2 linked regions of the Saccharomyces cerevisiae S288C genome follow. The protein of the gene in region 2 interacts with the protein of the main gene of each other region in a pairwise test. Each region holds a gene or a part of one and is shown on either strand. Other genes may lie near its edges.

The links. Proteins that work in one complex are often made in the same cells at the same time.
Region 1: the proteins of HXT15 (region 2) and MPH3 interact in a protein complementation assay, tested with the Saccharomyces cerevisiae proteins (one large-scale study listed by BioGRID).

The regions. Positions count from the first base shown.
Region 1 is NC_001142.9:737,451-742,390, forward strand, and holds MPH3 (alpha-glucoside permease), read right to left. Parts: upstream 2,367-4,940; coding exon 558-2,366; downstream 1-557. UniProt on the Saccharomyces cerevisiae protein: High-affinity uptake of maltose and maltotriose. Also transports alpha-methylglucoside, glucose and turanose but not melezitose or trehalose.
Region 2 is NC_001136.10:10,155-15,785, reverse strand, and holds HXT15 (hexose transporter HXT15), read left to right. Parts: upstream 1-2,425; coding exon 2,426-4,129; downstream 4,130-5,631. UniProt on the Saccharomyces cerevisiae protein: Probable glucose transporter.

The DNA.
Region 1 (4,940 bases), on a different chromosome or scaffold from region 2:
AGGAAATTATGAAATATACTCTGATTTGTTTATTATTGATTAAGAACAATATAATAACCGCTCTGGTAGCTACTGTACATATAATTTGACGGCATATATTGCTCATATATAAAACTACCGCATTACTTCCAGTTGATAGATTTTTAACTCAGTTTCAGTACTGCCAGAACTGCTCATTCGAGATTTTTTCTATTTTTAGAATAGGTAAAATTGCACTTAAATGTATAAGGGATGTACGAAGTGAGTGCCCAGACTGTTACTATGACAATTAAACTAATGTCGATGACCATTTGTTTCGACAACTCCATCTTCATTTTCTTCACGCGCCATACTCGGATGAGAAAGAATCTTTTCTCTAACTATACATTTCCAAACGCAATGATCAAGAAGAAAGCTAAATGTTACTTTGAGTTCAATTACTGAGACATGTCATGGGAATATGAGGAAGAAACAAATCTACGTGTATTATACTCCGTAACATGTAGAGTAAATACCATAGTTACCTATTTACCTGTGTCGATAAATGTTCATTAGCTCATAAGTGATGGGATACATTGCTATTCCTCTGCAATGGAAGCTTCGATATCTCCCTTGGGGTCGTTATGAGAGACGTCTTTAGGGGGGGTTTTGACAACAAACGGATCTACTTTCGTCGATTTGAACTTTCTTGCAGAAACTCCAAGTTTAAATAACTCATTTATTTCCACGAAAGTCTTTCCGGCAGTTTCTGGTAGGTCAACCACAGCCCAGATTAAAGTACAAAAGCATAAGACACCCCAGAAAAAGCCTGACTTAGCGCCCCAGTTCCACTTCTTAGAGTTCAGTTGGTATAAGATGAGAACGCTACATATGATACTGACCACATTATAAGTGTTACGTGCTAGAATGATTGTTTTCGTTCTTAGTCTTGAAGATGGCATTTCAGAGACTAGGCAAAAAACGACCGGGGCAATTCCTAAATTGTAAAAAAATGCTACAGCCATTAAAAGAGAACCACTTCCCATTTTGGAACCGTGCGTACTTGAGCACCCCAAACCGCCAATAATGAAAAAAACAATGGTTTGGAAGGCTAGTCCAAAAGCGTAAAGGTCATATCTACCAAAATACTTTGACGCCCACCAAGATAGAAATGTAGCACAAATACCGAGACAGTATTGAATAATACTAAAAGTGAAGGACATTTCAGTACTAACGCCAGCCTTTTCGTAAAAGTAAGTTGAATAACCTATTAGTATTGAACCACAAGTGGCTTGACCAGCCCAGCAGAGACAAGTAATTCTCGTTCTTCTTCGATTAATCTTGTCTTCAAAACAATCACTATAGGAGCCTTCTTTACTTGTGAGTCTCTTTTCCTTATCTATAGTCACTTTTATTTTGTCCACCTCCAGAGTTACTAGTATTTCTTTTTCAGGTCCCTTGCCGCTTAAAGTTCTTCTAAGTGATCTCCTTGCCTCATCAAACCTTCCTTTTTTAACTAGCCACCATGGAGATTCAGGTGCAAAAAAAATTCCCAGTGCTAAAGGAACTGGCAAAATCCACTGTAGGGCAAATGGTAGTTTATATCCTAATTCTGAATCCGCATATTTTTTTTGAGAATTTTTCATGATTCCAGCTGCAAAAAGTTGTCCAAATAACCAGCACAAGTTTGAATAGGTTGTAAGGTAATATCTCAGAGCCAATGGGCATATTTCAGAAGCGTAAGACACCGTCAAACACTGAAAACAACCCCATGGCATCCCGCACAATGCTTGTCCCACAGCAATCATGCCTAAACTATTGCAAAAGTACAGTATAAAAGTGAAGGCAGCTAAAAAAAACAATGCAATAATCAATGTGTAACGATTTCCAACAAGATCCACGGAGGGCCCCGTTAGCTGTAGCCCCACAATTTCACCTGCCATATAACATAAGGTCAGCCCGATTTGCCATGACGCTGAAATTTCCCATTCTCCAGTTTTGTCATTTTGTGAGCCAAACTTTCTCTGAAAAATAGGCAAGGCGTAGAAAGCTCCAAGAATAGCTGTGTCGTACCCTTCCATGATTAAAGTTGTAGAGACCAATAGTGACCAAGCTGCTGCCTTGGGATATGTATTCAATGCTGTCGCAAGTGGCATTCCTCTTTCACTTTCGTCTGCCTCCTTGGCATCCTCAGTAGCGTCAAATATCTCTGTTATTACTTTATTGCTATCGCTTGGCGCTCTTGTATCCGGACTGAACTCAACATGAACAATATCTAAGCCGTCCTTCTTAGTTTGATCATCCATTTCTATCCAGCTGGGTTCATGCGACTTAGCCTTTCCTGGGTATACATTCGAGTCACTTGTATTTTCCTTTCTTCTGTTTATGAGAAAAGATAAGTTTTTCATAGCTAGGTAATGGCTTTACAAGACCTGTATCTCTATTTGTGTTAGATTTTGTGATGGTAATCTTTGCATAATAATTCCAAGAACAGGCCTCTAAGAATTACAAACAACGATTACAGATGACCCCACCTTTTTTTTATATTCTATAGTCAACACTATCATGAACTTGTGGCATACTCATTGCATATGGCTGACAGGATGTCAAATGCTCCCTTCTACGAAAGATTCTGTGCACGTAAAACGCGGGGTGTGGAATGTCGCGATGACTCTCGAGCAGAGAAAAAGACAAACATATAACGAGCTGATTCCTCTCCAGAAGAACAAAGCCAACATTGATTCAAACTGAGGACTTAATATGATTGACTCTCTGGAAACTGCAACAGTGTGATTATAGATCAGAAATTCATGCTGTAATTTTAGTATATCGACCTGTCGCGATGTTGCAAGCGTGACAGATCTATACATATTTCGCTAAAACTGTCGGTAAAATACCAACACGCTGCACTGCAGACCACAGATTCGAACCGAAGCATATTTTCAGAAATTTACGAGAGGTCTTTATAGTCACCAAAATATCCAAATTGAGTAATTAGAAAGAAAAAAACACACATACTGTAGTCCACAACCTGTTTACGGACAGGTTCTGGCTGATGGGATAACCACTCTACCTGACTGCTCTCCTACTTCATATTTACCTCCCGAACAACGTGAAATCTTTTTGCTTGGAGAAAAACAAGTAAAAAGTATAAATGGAGATGAAAGATCCACCAATAAATTCCAGCTTGATTTTTCAACATATGATGACAAATGTGAGTGCTAAATCTAAGTCGTAAGACAAATAAGAACTTTTACCATAATCAGTATCCTGGGAAAAGTGGTAGAACTACAGTTTATCAAGCTTACCCACAAAGCATTAAATATGCTCCCACAATAACCTCTGGAGTGATATAACAGGTATGACTTTCAAGTTATAGTATATTAAAGATCTTGGAATTGGGCGGTTTAGGCTTGTTCATTTCAAAGCTCGAGTAAGATTTTAGTATACTTTTCCCTATAGAAATATTTCCGACATAGATTTTTTAATATAAGCACTTCTTCCATGACATTTTGTTTCAGTTATCTCTCTTTCGTCGCTACTTGAGAAAACTATATGGTTGTACGAAAAAGAAATGGCCAAAATATTCTTTGGGCCTTATTAATCTCATTACTATTGTAAGAGTTGGCCCTTAATTTTATAGAAACACTGTTTTAAGGCCAAAAAAAAAAGATGCCAAACATAGAAAGGAAATGTCGCTTTACTTGGCTAATTGGCTCTAAATCACAGGTCTTAATACTCGAAACGCCATTGATGTACTGTGCACAATTTCCATTCCGGGTTAATTATAAAGATATCAGCGTTTATTTTCATCCATGGCAATGAAAATTGTAAAATAATCATCATCAAAATTTGATATGGTTGCAATAGAGGGAATGATTTGATTTTTATGAGACTTATACGCATCACCCTGTATTTTTGCAATTACGGCGATTTATAAAACTTATAACGGAATTTAAGAGTTTCATCCTACCAAGCGTAATCATAGATATAAAAATTCTATTGTGCAACTCATATTTGTCATTGAAACAGGGACTTTTCTCCGAAGTTTAATATCTAGTATGAGCTATACACCTTAACCACTCCTTACTTGTAAAGGTACGAAAAAGTTGTCGTTTTAGCGCGCACTTACTGATGGATGCTGAATCAGTATAGTGTTTGACTGCGGCAGTAAACTACTCACAGTAGCAGGCACGTACTATGGAAGTTGTTTCGAGGCGCATGATAGGAAAAAGGGTACCAAAAAGGATTAGAAGAGAAAATTTTCATAATGGGAAGTCACTGACGAGGGTTGGTGGTTATCCGTTTTAAAAAAATATTATGCAATCAAGCTACAACATCCTGTAAATTTTGTAGTAGAAAACTTCTATTATAACGGTTTCTGAATTGGCATATAAAATAGTCAAAAGGTGATCTTTAAATCAACGGTAAAAACAGTGAAGCTGGTCCTGTTGTAGAATCGCCATTTCCTTTGTGGTGATAGGTCTTTAAGTAAAGTAATGGTGAATTTAGTTAATTTGTTAACCAACGCGACTCCAGCTAACTGAGCGCATGGTCTAATACAGTTCCGTTAGAAACATATTTTCATTTTGATGAGGTATCAGTATTTGGCGACTATTATTTGAATGCATCTGTAATCTGGATGAATGAAACCTTTTATGAAACCAGAATTGTCCCAGCTATTATCAATGTCCGTGAATGGCTTGACCATATGGAGGCAAACGATCCTTCACCTAGTGTAACTAACCCACTCGAAACTTCAATTATTATGCCTTTTCAACGGTAGCTCCCGCTTTAATGGAGGATATGAAAGTAGCATAAATGAATTAGAAAAGTGTATTCACTGTTCTGGAATATACATGGTACGCAAGAGATATAAAAATTTATAATAAACGTACGTTATGCCCGAAGTGTATCCCGAACTACGGGTTAAACTAAAGCTTTTTAATTACTAGTAGGTTGGAGGTTTACCAATATGCGTT
Region 2 (5,631 bases):
AATGCACATATACAAATATATATGTAAAGGGAAATACCTTGTGACTACACCTATGCCTAAGTTTCAGTATCTGAACTAGGATAATTTCGATTATAACTCTAACATTTTTTACGTTTTCTCCATATTTCGAATTGTTCCTTCTTCAATCAAAATAATAAAAAAAAAAAATCACAAAAATGACTATAGTATTTTGAGCCCAACATGACTGCGAAATTGCTATTAACAATGATTAGTCAGTAGTATTGAATAACTTAGAATTTAAAACTACCTTATACAAGATGGGCATATAAAGGACATGCCAAATGGACATATTAAATACGCTCGATGTACCAGAACATCCAGGAACTTACCATAGAAAAATATGTAACGACTTATAAACTTTAAATAAATTAGAGATTCAATGAATCTCTAATTTTTTCCGCCCGCCTATTGAACTTTTACTTTGTCATTAATCTATTCTGAAATAGGTACAGAGCGACGCCAGTGTAAACATATGTGTGATGGACATCAGCATTCAATGTATATCTTATCACACCAGTTTATCCAAAGATAGATGCAGTTTTGAAATTGGTTACTTAGAATATTTCTACTACATTTCGATAACAAATATAACTATTTTGAATTTAAAAGTTGAGTATCCAAAAATTTTAGAAATACATACAATTACTTCCCAATTACTTCCCAAATATTCTCCCCCCTGGTTTGATATCATAAAAGCACCTTATGGCAACAAGATTCCCGGGATAGTAATGCTATTTTAATGTATATCTATTTCTCGAATACTTGTATCTTTACTCCACTACCCCTATGCAAGAAGATAAGCGATAGTTTTTGTTCCTTCCTCTTCCTACTCTGTTAATTAACTGAAAATTATTTATATTGAAAAGGTACTTGTAGCAAATTAGACAAGGAATTCTCCTGGTATAAAGTTAGAGAAACAGAAATATGAAACGGCCACCCCAGGTATGAAATATTATCTTAAGAAGAGCCATGAACACACATGAATAGATTCTTGAGACATGCTTAGGGTAACAAAGACTGTAACGCCTTGTTGCAATACTGCTTTATTCAAATTTTTAAATTGTACGGAATTGTGGTAAGGAGAATGTGCAAATAACTTAGCATGAAACGGTGCTATAGTTGAATCATTGTATGAGGTAACATCACTTCAACGAAAAGAAGAATAAAATTGACCTGCACATGGAGAAAGCGTAATATATAAAAAATGTTTACAATTTTGGCGCACTATATGGGAGAACAGCTGCTGGATAATATTATGCCCTTACTTCATTTCACCATATCCGTTTACAGTTCAAATCTCGCCGTCGAGCCATAAATTCTCAAAATTCCTTTGCAAATATTTTGCTTACCTGTAACCGGCAGCTTACATTCTTCCGTCATAATTTCTCAGACGGATGACATAAACCATTTTTTCAGAATCCTCGATAACATAATCGATCAAAACAGTAATAAACATTCTCTTGCACAAAATGGACTTTGGCAGCAAATCCTGAAATATTGTGGAGTATTGCCAGAGGTAAAAGCAACGTTGAACAAATTATGACACTAGACCTCTTAGGCATAAAGATGACATCATCTAGGTACTCGTAAAGATCCTAACCACAGATTCCACCTTAAAAGACGACAATAGTAACTTTGTCCTTGATCTGGGTTACTAAATCAGCGATATGATCATTAAAGTGAATATCCCCTTCTTAAAATGTACCAAATATCTTATACGTTTGCAGTTTTTCTTTTTCTTTTTCTTTATTTCTTTGGTAAGGACTAGGTAATTATTTCCGTATTTGGCTCCTTTGGCGCTTAAAAAATCTTGTACGCAAATTTCCACAAGATATTGCGTGACAATTACTATTACTGAAGTTGAACTTGTTTCATGTCTCCGCCTGTGTTAACTCCGTTTTGCTTAACTCCGTCTCGTATTACAGTAAATTCATGATGTGCCTATGAATATGCAGCTAGCCTGCTGCAGGCAAAATTATTTTTAGCTTTGTGCGCTACAGTGGTAGTAACTTAAAACTTAAAAGCTAAAATGCAAAAACAGTAGAGTGCGGGGTATGCTTTTCTTTTGAACGTGCACTGCGCAGAGGCACAATTTAGCAAAGAAGTCAGGCAAGGTAGATGATGTAAACAAACGAGGACTTGTACTGCGCATCTTGAACCTTTCAATATCATAAGTGCAATCAGCTAAAGGTTTGATTTTCCGAATGCTCTGCAAAAAAGTTAAACATGGTTATATAACTCAAGTATGATAACTCCAGTGTTGGCCTGTAATCACCAACTTTCAAACGTATAAAGAAAGTAAGTAATTCATTGTTTGCTTCAGGTTTAGTCTTATTACTATCCATAGAAGTAAAACTATTGATATTATTGACAGAAAAGGAGGAAAGGAAACTAAAGGAAAAAAATGGCAAGCGAACAGTCCTCACCAGAAATTAATGCAGATAATCTAAACAGTAGTGCAGCTGACGTTCATGTACAGCCACCCGGAGAGAAAGAATGGTCAGACGGGTTTTATGACAAAGAAGTCATTAATGGAAATACGCCAGACGCACCGAAGAGAGGCTTTTTAGGTTACCTTATTATCTACTTACTATGCTATCCTGTATCCTTTGGCGGTTTTTTACCTGGTTGGGATAGTGGTATTACTGCAGGCTTCATCAATATGGATAACTTTAAAATGAATTTTGGTTCTTACAAGCACAGTACTGGTGAGTATTATTTGAGCAACGTGCGTATGGGTCTTCTCGTGGCCATGTTCAGTGTAGGATGTTCCATTGGCGGTGTTGCTTTTGCGAGACTTGCTGATACTTTAGGTAGAAGGCTAGCAATTGTAATCGTGGTTTTGGTATATATGGTTGGTGCAATTATTCAGATCAGTTCGAATCACAAATGGTACCAATACTTTGTCGGTAAGATCATCTACGGTCTTGGTGCTGGTGGCTGTTCGGTGTTGTGTCCAATGCTTTTATCTGAAATAGCCCCCACAGATTTGAGAGGTGGACTTGTCTCATTGTACCAACTTAACATGACCTTCGGTATTTTCTTGGGTTATTGTAGCGTTTATGGAACAAGGAAGTATAGTAATACTGCGCAATGGAGGATTCCTGTGGGACTATGCTTTCTGTGGGCTCTAATTATCATCGTTGGCATGTTATTAGTTCCAGAGTCCCCAAGATATCTGATTGAATGTGAGAGACATGAAGAGGCCTGTGTCTCCATCGCCAAGATCAACAAGGTTTCACCAGAGGATCCATGGGTACTCAAACAGGCTGATGAAATCAACGCCGGTGTCCTTGCCCAAAGAGAACTAGGGGAAGCCTCATGGAAAGAACTTTTCTCCGTCAAAACAAAAGTCCTTCAACGTTTGATCACAGGTATTCTTGTGCAAACCTTTTTGCAACTTACTGGTGAAAACTACTTCTTCTTCTACGGAACTACCATTTTCAAATCAGTTGGGCTTACTGATGGGTTTGAGACTTCGATCGTCCTAGGTACAGTGAATTTCTTCTCCACTATTATTGCTGTTATGGTCGTAGACAAAATAGGCCGTCGTAAATGTCTGTTATTCGGAGCGGCTTCAATGATGGCTTGTATGGTCATATTTGCAAGTATCGGGGTAAAATGTCTTTACCCTCATGGCCAGGATGGTCCATCCTCGAAAGGTGCAGGTAATGCCATGATTGTGTTCACATGCTTCTATATATTCTGCTTTGCAACGACATGGGCCCCTGTTGCTTATATTGTGGTTGCCGAGTCATTCCCTTCGAAGGTCAAATCTAAAGCAATGTCAATTTCGACTGCATTCAACTGGTTATGGCAATTCTTGATTGGTTTTTTCACACCATTCATTACTGGGTCTATCCACTTCTATTATGGTTATGTGTTCGTAGGTTGTTTGGTTGCTATGTTTTTGTACGTTTTCTTCTTTTTACCAGAAACAATTGGTCTATCTTTGGAGGAAATCCAGTTACTATATGAAGAAGGTATAAAACCATGGAAATCTGCATCTTGGGTACCACCCTCAAGGAGAGGAGCTTCTTCCAGGGAAACTGAGGCTAAGAAGAAAAGCTGGAAAGAAGTTTTGAAGTTCCCAAAGAGTTTTAATTGATCAATATGCGCGCTTGATAAACATGCTAAGAGATAAATTCTTGAAAAAAAATAGGGCCTACTGTAAAACGAAGTGACACGTAATTTCAAATTTAATCAACAAAAAACTACGAGTTTCTTTGCAAACTCCCTTTTTCGGACTACTAGTACTATATAAAATAACGAGTTATTTAGTGAAAGAAAGCGTTTGGTTAAGGCAACATTGTACGAAGTTCTGTTTCTTTAAGGCAAAGCAGAGTATAAAAAGTAGGATGCTTATGGAGTGAAAACGGAGTGGTGATGAAGATGGGGAAGTCAACATAGGTCCACTTGAGTGCTTATGGAAGATCCTTAAAAATGCATTTCCAGGAACGTAACACTGTACCATTCCTCTAAATAAAGTGTATACAATAATATAGAAATATAGATTCTTCCCAAATATTCAGTTGTTACTATAAAGGGAATATTTGAGCTCGTTATTAGCGTGGCCGCACAAACAACCATCATATTAGAAGAGATAACTTTGTTTCAACTCGGGGGGGCAAACTTTCTCATGCTTCGTTAACTTGGCAAATACAACAAGCATACTTTTTGCGGTGAAAACATTTTGAGGCATGTTTCCACACAACATAATAGCGAATGGAGTAAGATTTTTTTTGTAATACAGTAAAAAGACCTCATATAGGTACCCGTACAAAGTCTCTGACCTCTCTGGGTGACCTGGGTCATTAGTAGTTCAAGGAGCATCTGCCACTAAAAGATTTGTGACCTAACTGTGGTAGTAACCGTTAAAGACACGGTATTGAAACAATGGGTTCAAAACAGTCGAGGGTTTTAGCATTTAAGTCGGCATATGTCCATTTCTATCCTTTTTCCAAGTCTATTGAGTTTCTTTATCTTTTTACTTATTTCCTTTTTGAAAGGTCTTACGACAAAGTTCAAAGCTTGATGAATTGTCTATTACTTTATTTGCTAAATTGAAACTCTGGATGAGTACCAATTCTTCTTTTCATTTTGCGATAATTGACATTATGATTTTTCAACTAATTAACATGATATTGTACATAATTTTTTAATATCAAAGCGCTACGTCCACTGAAACTATAGAACCGTTCATCTGTCGAATCAACATCTCTACAATTAGTACGAAAGCTTAGTTTATCAATTTTTTGTGAAAACTTTGACTAATGACGTATTATTGTGGTGTGCATTACGACCAAAAGGCGGGCTAACAATTCCAAGGAAAAAAGCTGGTGTAAACCTGACTGTTTGCCACGGCTTTTCTTACTACTAAATCGGTAGCAGGCATGAAGGAATCGTGAATGGTGTGACCTGAGACAAGGAGAGGCAGGCATGAAGGCAAACAAATTACGGGGGAAGGCACAGGAGATACCCCCACTAAAGATTACCCCACAATCCCTTATTTTCTCGAGCTCCCTGCAGGAGAGTAAGTTTTAGGCACATATAGGTGCAGAAAATAAAGTTTTCGCGGACAGCTACTGCCGAGTGGCAAAATCTATGTTG